Linked DNA regions of Drosophila melanogaster. The protein of the gene in region 1 purifies or fractionates together with the protein of each later gene. This does not show direct contact. Each region holds a gene or a part of one and is shown on either strand. Other genes may lie near its edges.

Evidence for each region.
Region 2: the proteins of mth (region 1) and sun fractionate together in Drosophila melanogaster (co-fractionation; one study listed by BioGRID). This does not show direct contact.

What each region holds. Positions count from the first base shown.
Region 1 is NT_037436.4:345,131-349,064, reverse strand, and holds the start of mth (methuselah), read left to right. Parts: upstream 1-2,107; 5' UTR 2,108-2,250; intron 2,251-2,726; exon of another isoform or gene 2,727-3,179; 5' UTR 3,180-3,183; coding exon 3,184-3,690; intron 3,691-3,753; coding exon 3,754-3,907; intron 3,908-3,934. UniProt on the Drosophila melanogaster protein: Involved in biological aging and stress response. Essential for adult survival. Required in the presynaptic motor neuron to up-regulate neurotransmitter exocytosis at larval glutamatergic neuromuscular junctions (NMJs).
Region 2 is NC_004354.4:15,847,370-15,851,303, reverse strand, and holds sun (stunted), read left to right. Parts: upstream 1-2,045; 5' UTR 2,046-2,139; coding exon 2,140-2,168; intron 2,169-2,287; coding exon 2,288-2,418; intron 2,419-2,956; coding exon of another isoform or gene 2,957-2,970; exon of another isoform or gene 2,971-3,006; intron 3,007-3,299; coding exon 3,300-3,325; 3' UTR 3,326-3,445; downstream 3,446-3,934. Other genes in the region: UBL3 (ubiquitin like 3), read left to right, coding at 108-216, 594-758, 876-940. UniProt on the Drosophila melanogaster protein: Activates the G-protein coupled receptor mth in vitro, leading to increased intracellular calcium ion levels.

The DNA.
Region 1 (3,934 bases):
GCTAATGTTCCAAGAGCATCCTAGATTTAGGTTGTACGAATATTATAAGAACCTTAAAAGTACATTTTTTTATTCTATCATAATTTTGATTCGTCGTACGCCATATTTAATCGCAGTAATTTATGTGCAAAATGATCGGTATATATGTAATTAAATGCTTAACATTGAAATTTCAGCTTGGCGACCCTTATTCCCCAATTTCGTGGAGCCAATAGCAAAAGCTTGCTCTAAATAGATTTCCCCGGTTTCGAGGAGTTGTGGTCCACCCTCCGGGAAATGGATTTTAAAACGGAACATGGAACACGGAGGCCTGTGGAAAACAGGTTAAGCTCCCCGATTGATTTTCTCTCGTGCCGCCGACGCATCAATTACGCTGGCCTGGCATTAATTATCGTGTGGCGTATGCATTTGCTAGGCTTACCTTATGCCCGTTATGCCTCAGGGTTGCCATGGGTTCGCAGTGGAAGGGGTGGCGACCCCAGGAAGAGATGGGGCCTTCTTCCGAAGCGGGGTTAGGACCGCTTATCGTTGCTTGCCTTTTAATTTTTATTGCTTTTGGCGTGCAGGAGCAGGAGGGGGAGCGCAGAGCGCACCCCACAACTGTTTGTTCAACGCTCAACATACTGAATATGCTATTTTCGTGTTCATATTCCACTTGCATCACAGTCCCCGGATAAAGACCCGGGCGACACTCATACACACCCAGAAGCACTGACAGAAAACTGGGAAGTATCTCGCATTATTGTTAAGCTATAACAGCGCTTTGCTATGATCAGTTTTGTAAACTTAACACAACCACGAACTGGTGCAAATGAGGTAATTCCCCATATTGGACATGGTTTCTTACAGTGTAGAATTGCAGCTGATTTGTGCTTTTTCTTTCTTCCATTCGTTAAACACTCCTGTGATTGGGTCAATTGTATTCGTTGTTCTTTATGTCGACTAGATGGCCGAAGAAAGCGGAGTATTGGTATTTACGGTTAATTGACGAATTTGTAAACAAATAATCAACGATTAAGTGCAGTGCATCTTGGCTATCTTCCTTTCCCCTTCATTCCCCCTTATCTACGCTATTGCCACTTCCTTCGTTGCACTACATGCGGCTTTCGAGATTTGTGTGCGTGTATGGATGGTTCTCTCTAACTCTATTCCTCTCCCTTGTCCGCCTGCGTGGAACTCCGGAAGAGGTAGAGAGCAAGAGGAAGAATAACAATAATAATTACAAACACTGCAGCGAAAGAAGTTGCAGCACAAAGGGAAAGGCAGAGAGGCGGGCTCTTCTTACCTCTCTTTTTTCTGGCTGCTGTACTATACTTGCACCAACTAGATTTTGTATTCAACAAATGCAGAATATGTTTCTAACGCATTCGGAAAGAGAGCACACACTGCATAGCCACCGGACTCACACACTCGCACTCAGGCTGCCGCTTTATAGGACAACAAAAGTAGAAAGAAATTCACGCAGGCCGGTTAACGATCAATATAAATGCGCGAACTTGGCTTAATGTCCTTTGTCCTTAACTAGGGGTTTTCACGGAAACGGAAGAAACGAAAAACAAACCCAAATAAACTGAACCGACACAATGAAAAAATGGACTGGCTAGTGATGGATGCTAGCCTCGCACGATAGTATCGATATAACCTCTAGTTGTAATTGATAAGTGTAATCGAGTTAACAGTTCCGATAAGATTACGATATTGGTTATAAGAAGTTGAATTTTTTTTACGGTTATTATAATTCCATGTATAAAACAGCACTTATCAGCTGATCCCAAAACTTTTCATCGAGTTAAAGCGGTCGCTTAGCCTTAACACTGAAATGTGCTCCTTGGAAACAGGGCATCAAAACTGACTATCGTCAGTGCAAGTGCATGTACGATATATCGATTAAAACGTAACTGAATAAGCCGATGTCAAACATAATGTTGTAAATAAAATCGAATCATATTATTGAAAGAAAAACATCATTCCACATGCCCATCCATATTTTCAATTAATAAAAAATATTCTCAGTCCAGAAACTATGTTACGAAAAATTACTCTGCACAAAACGACACTGATCGTGGCGGCAGACGGGTTTGTTCTGCCACCATTGTTCAACATTCATTCTTTTTTTCCGTTCAAGTTTTAGGAGAGAGAGCAGAGTAAAGTTTAGTTGTCACACACATCTGTGTGAGTTTTAAGCTTAAAAAAAGTTCAAACGCGGAACGCTCCATGTCCGCTTGATACACCGATCGAGAACAAAAAAGCGTAAATATTTTGTACAATGTAATTGTACTGAATGTGGCAGTAAATAAAAAAAAAGACGGACTATGGTGATATCTTGTGTGCACTTACACATACATACATACGACGAATTTAATTATTGGCAGAGCTCTCGCATCTGACTTTAACTCCATAAAATACATATATTAATATTTAAATATAGCATATTTTGTGTATATATGTACAAGAATATCTTACCATTTTAACTGTGATACACCGATCGAGAAGAAAAAATCAAAAAAAATAAATATTTTTTTACAACGAGACTTCTTTTCGTGGAAGTGAATAAGAAAAATGAGGCTGATATCATGTGTACTGTGTAAGTGCAGTTATGCATATATGCATAATATGTATACACATATTAATATTTAAATATATCATATTTTGTGTATATATGTACAAGAATATCATACCATTAGTTTTGGAAAATAATAAATATAAAATAACTTTGGTTTTCCCAGAACAACATAATTGTTTAATCAAAATTGGGTTGTGGTCAAATATGGGGCCAGGCCACTCAGTCACCAGATCCACATCTCCACTTTTGTAATTAGGATCATCAGGATCAGATGAACCGAATGAAAATCGAATTACCACAGAATGCAGCCGTACCTAACAATGAATTTGGAATTAAAATGCCTTTCATAGCTGTTCGATGCCCACTGCTAGAAGCTAAATACAAGCTTTACAACAGAATGTATGTATGTACATACAAATCAACATCACCCAGTATGACAAACGAGGAAAAATATGTGGACTATCTTTGTGTTGTCAATTAAAGTTTGGTTCTCATTTATCATTTGTACAATATACTACCATACCATTTAAGTTCTTTTCATTGGTTTTGCTATTTTCAATTCCAACTACGGCAAAAAACATCTTGGCAAAGGCGTCCTTTCTTGTGTCCTTTGCAGATAAATGAAAACTCTTTTGGTTCTTCGGATATCAACTGTCATACTTGTTGTGCTGGTTATTCAAAAATCATATGCAGACATTCTCGAATGCGATTATTTCGACACTGTCGATATTTCGGCAGCTCAAAAACTACAGAATGGATCGTACTTATTTGAGGGGTTGCTCGTTCCGGCCATTTTGACGGGAGAATATGACTTTAGGATTCTCCCGGACGACTCGAAGCAGAAGGTGGCTCGTCACATAAGAGGATGTGTGTGCAAGCTGAAGCCCTGTGTCAGATTTTGCTGCCCTCACGACCATATCATGGATAATGGTGTCTGCTACGACAACATGTCCGACGAGGAGCTGGCTGAACTCGATCCCTTCCTTAATGTGACTCTTGACGACGGGTCGGTGTCCCGCAGACACTTTAAAAACGAACTAATCGTCCAGTGGGACCTACCGATGCCGTGTGACGGAATGTTCTACCTAGACAACCGCGAAGAACAGGATAAGTACACGTTGTTCGAGGTTCAGTTGTCTAATATATTCATAATGAACATATTTGGTTTACTTGGTATTTTCTAATTCTAGAACGGAACTTTCTTTCGCCACTTTGACCGTGTGACTCTTCGCAAGCGGGAATACTGCCTTCAGCATCTTACATTCGCAGATGGTAATGCTACGTCTATTCGAATTGCACCTCACAACTGTTTGATAGTGCCATCAATTACCGGTCAGACGGTTGGTAAGCTATACCATACGATCAGCTGAT
Region 2 (3,934 bases), on another chromosome or scaffold:
TGGCAGGACTTACATTTAATTTCATTGAGCTCTCATAAAAAAACGATATACTATAAACTATATCATATAAAAGAATTTAATTGCAATAATATCCGTTTGCTTTTCAGATTAACCTACGCCTCATTCTTGTTAGTGGTAAAACAAAAGAGTTTATTTTTAGCCCTTCAGATTCCGCAGGTGATATTGCACAAACAGTATTTGATAATTGGCCAGAAGGTGAGTGAATTTAGTGTTAAGTTTGTCGGCGAATGATTTTTAATCACTAACGATTAAGTATGTAAGCTACGTAATACAAATAGAGTGAAATATACATATTTCTTCTAAATGGCATGCTATTGACCCTTTCGCGTGAACTGCATTTATTTTGAGAACGCTTTAATCATAGTCACAAGGATACAAGGATACAACCCACGAAATATTTAATATTTATGGCATCTATTGGATATTTCAAATAAATGCGACTTTTGAAGTTTGTTTAAATATTGTCAGCTTGTTGGCCTCTAAAATCAATTCTTTCTTAGTTGTTTTGCTTTTAGAGTTAGACTTTTGATGCGAAAACCCATGTAATACATTATTGTGCATATATCTTGCAGATTGGACCCACGAAACTGTGTCGAAAGCCGAAATCTTGCGCTTAATTTATCAAGGTCGTTTTCTTCATTGCAATGTAACCTTAGGAGCACTGGGACTTCCATTAGGCAAAACGACTGTTATGCATTTAGTGCCACGTGATAATTTGCCAGAGCCCAATTCACAAGGTAGGTTTTCAAAAAAAAAAAAAAAAAAGAAATATGGTTTCAATTATAAAGAGCTGCTCAAATTTAAATTCGCAATGCATACGAAAAACATCTTACTGAATTTTCCTCCTCTTTTAGATCAAAGACAAAATAGTAAAGGCGGTTCTGGACGATGCTGTTCGACAAATTGCTCTATTTTGTAACTAAATTATTATATAATAGCGTAATATTTAAACTAATTTGCATTAAAAGAAAAAAGAAAAAAAAAAAAACACCCACAACCGAAATAAAAACAAATATGAATGTATAAATTACATTTTTGTGCAGTCAGAAGTATATTTATTAAACTATAATAATGTATGTCTGGATCAACAAGGCGCTTTGTTTCAACTATTAATGTACATACAATATATATTTTATATATATACCACACAGGAATTCATGAGCATGTGCAAAATGCGTATACTCTGTATTAAAGTTGCTAGACTGCATATTTATAACATGTAATATACGAATACAATGCTAATTGCTTTTAGAAACCGGACTTGTTAACCTAATTAGAGAATGGGTAATTACAACACTTATTTCAAATATGTCGAAAATATTGAAAACTAATTATGTGCAAGAATAAGTAATTTTCCCATTGCGTTCTGCTTTTAAGTGTGCGTCTACCGAAAAACTAAATAAAATCAGCAATTACTTGTCAGATCGATTCTTTAATGCGTTAAAGAATATTAAAGAAATTTTTGTTCTGTATATATACACATTTAATTAGAACTTAAGTGTTTTCTTCTGTTAAGTTTTAAAATATTATCTGTAAAGTCTAACTTAAAGTCAATGATAAATAAATAATCTAATATATCCTTAGCTTATCCTATTTTGGGTGCATTGGTGGTTATTTGATTAATTAGCCTAGAACTAAAAACAAATTTCAAGGAAAATTGGGGAATATTTTTTTTAAGTTGATGGTTTAATGTAACAATTTTTCTTGAAATGCTTTATGCAAGGCACGTTAAACAATGTCTGCTTAATTATTTGTGTAGGCATGAATAAGTAACAAGCTTCGTTCTTTCGAATAAAACAGTTTGGCATATCCATATTTATTAGGGTTTTTCCCAAAGGAAGAAAAATAAGTAAATTAGATTTTTAAATATTGAAAAGTTTGAGTTTGGATATCGATAACAAATGTTACTAACAGTGTGTATGTTCAATAACAGAAGTCACAGTCGTCGTCGCTATCTTGACGCGCGTAAGCTAGTATTTAAGGTATATGTGCGACAATCGACGGTATATTTCTGACTTAACTCTCAAAAACTAGTTGGCCACACTGACCGGATTCAGAAAGGGAATATCTTATATATTTTTTGTGTAGCGTGAATATATTTCGAATAAACCGATCACAATGACTGCCTGGAGAGCTGCCGGAATTACGTAAGCATTGTATAAGTGCCTGCCACACCAGCTGTGTTGTGGCAGCATTCTCATGCAAATAAAAACGCCTTTGCTGCCCGATTACATAACATAATTAATCCAAATATTACCGATTGCAGCTACATCCAATACTCCAACATCGCCGCTCGCATTTTGCGCGAGTCCTTGAAGACGGGACTGCGTGCGGATGCCGCCAAGCGCGACGCGAGCCATGTGAAGTTCACTCCCTGGGCAAATGGCAAGCCAGCTCGTACGTATCATAATACTTTAGACGGCCAAATAGCAGCCATTATATAAATTAACTCCGGATAATTCGAAATCCAAGGGGAAACCGTTATCAATGTGTTATTAGGAATGTTTCGAAGTCATCCACAAGTGGTTTCCACACGGTATTCTACCCAAAAGTTTCGGAAAAAAGCCCCGTTTCGAAATGGCAATGTGAAAAATACCGAAAAATGAACGGTTCACTCGTGTTCCCACTTTACTCCGAAAATGTTGCCAATTTACAGGCGTAATATCGCGTGTAAAAACTGTTCCCATCTATAGATATTCGTATATTATTGCATATATCATATATATTTGCAATCTGTTTAAATCCTGATCATCAACATTGAAGCGTTCATACTCATCCAAACCATTTCTAAAACTTTAATTTCAAAATTTTCGTAACTTATTGGAATATCGAAACAAAATTAGGCAAAATTGCTTACCATTCCTTCAAGACAAACGCTCCATAAAGTAATAGAATTTATGTTTCATATTGCGTCATATTTGAATATATTTTTCAGATGAAAGGGCTTAGGTGTTCCATCGTCAAATTAATAATTTAAAAACTGGCGTAAGTGCCTGCCGCGGCAGACAAAACCCAAATTATCCCAGCGTTCGCATTAAACTCAACGACAGTTTATGTATCTAACTTTGTTCCCAAAGTTTCTAACTACGCTTACAAGCTGATCTGCATGCAAATGCGATGTGTTTACATATAATATAATGTTTATATTAATATACATATATATATCCCAAAATTGCCCGCCCCAAAAGTTTACAAGCGACCAACTATTAACTATTTCTTTGTGATGAAAAACTATTATCCAAAGCAAATGCTGATTATTGCCATTTTTCTGTCCGCAGAGCGTCAAACCCAATCGGAATCCTAGATGCTTTTCAGTGGCCACTCGAGAATGATTCGCAACAACTAAGATCCGCCGAAGCTGCAATGTTGTAAAATCATGAAAAATAAATAAAATTAAATAAATGTAATTTATTTAAACACGATGATTTTAATTGTTCTTAAATGTGGCATTTATTTGGGCGTTCCGTTTAGAGATCGCGACCGATGAAACGGACTTCTAGCAAAGATTTAAATATAGACTCAATAGAATATTGTAATTTTGAAAAGAACTATTGGTCAGGTTCACCAGAAGCCTTTTAATTGGGATCAGTGATAGGTTTCTTGCTATAATTTTGTCAACGCATATTTGTATAGAATGATTTTATACACATAATGCTGAACCAATTGAATTGTTACTTATATTTTGCGCTTTAAATATACACATATAGACATTATTTATGTTAATTATTATCCAGTTAGTTTATATTTTAATTTAAATATATATATATATATATTTTTAAGGTAGAGTATTTTGGATTATCCTTCAAAAATTATCGATTTGCTACCACTAAGACCGATTAAATTGCTACCGAAGTGCTATTTCAATTGCAGCATGTTGATTTGTGTGTTGATGATGTCGTGTACTTGCGTTTCC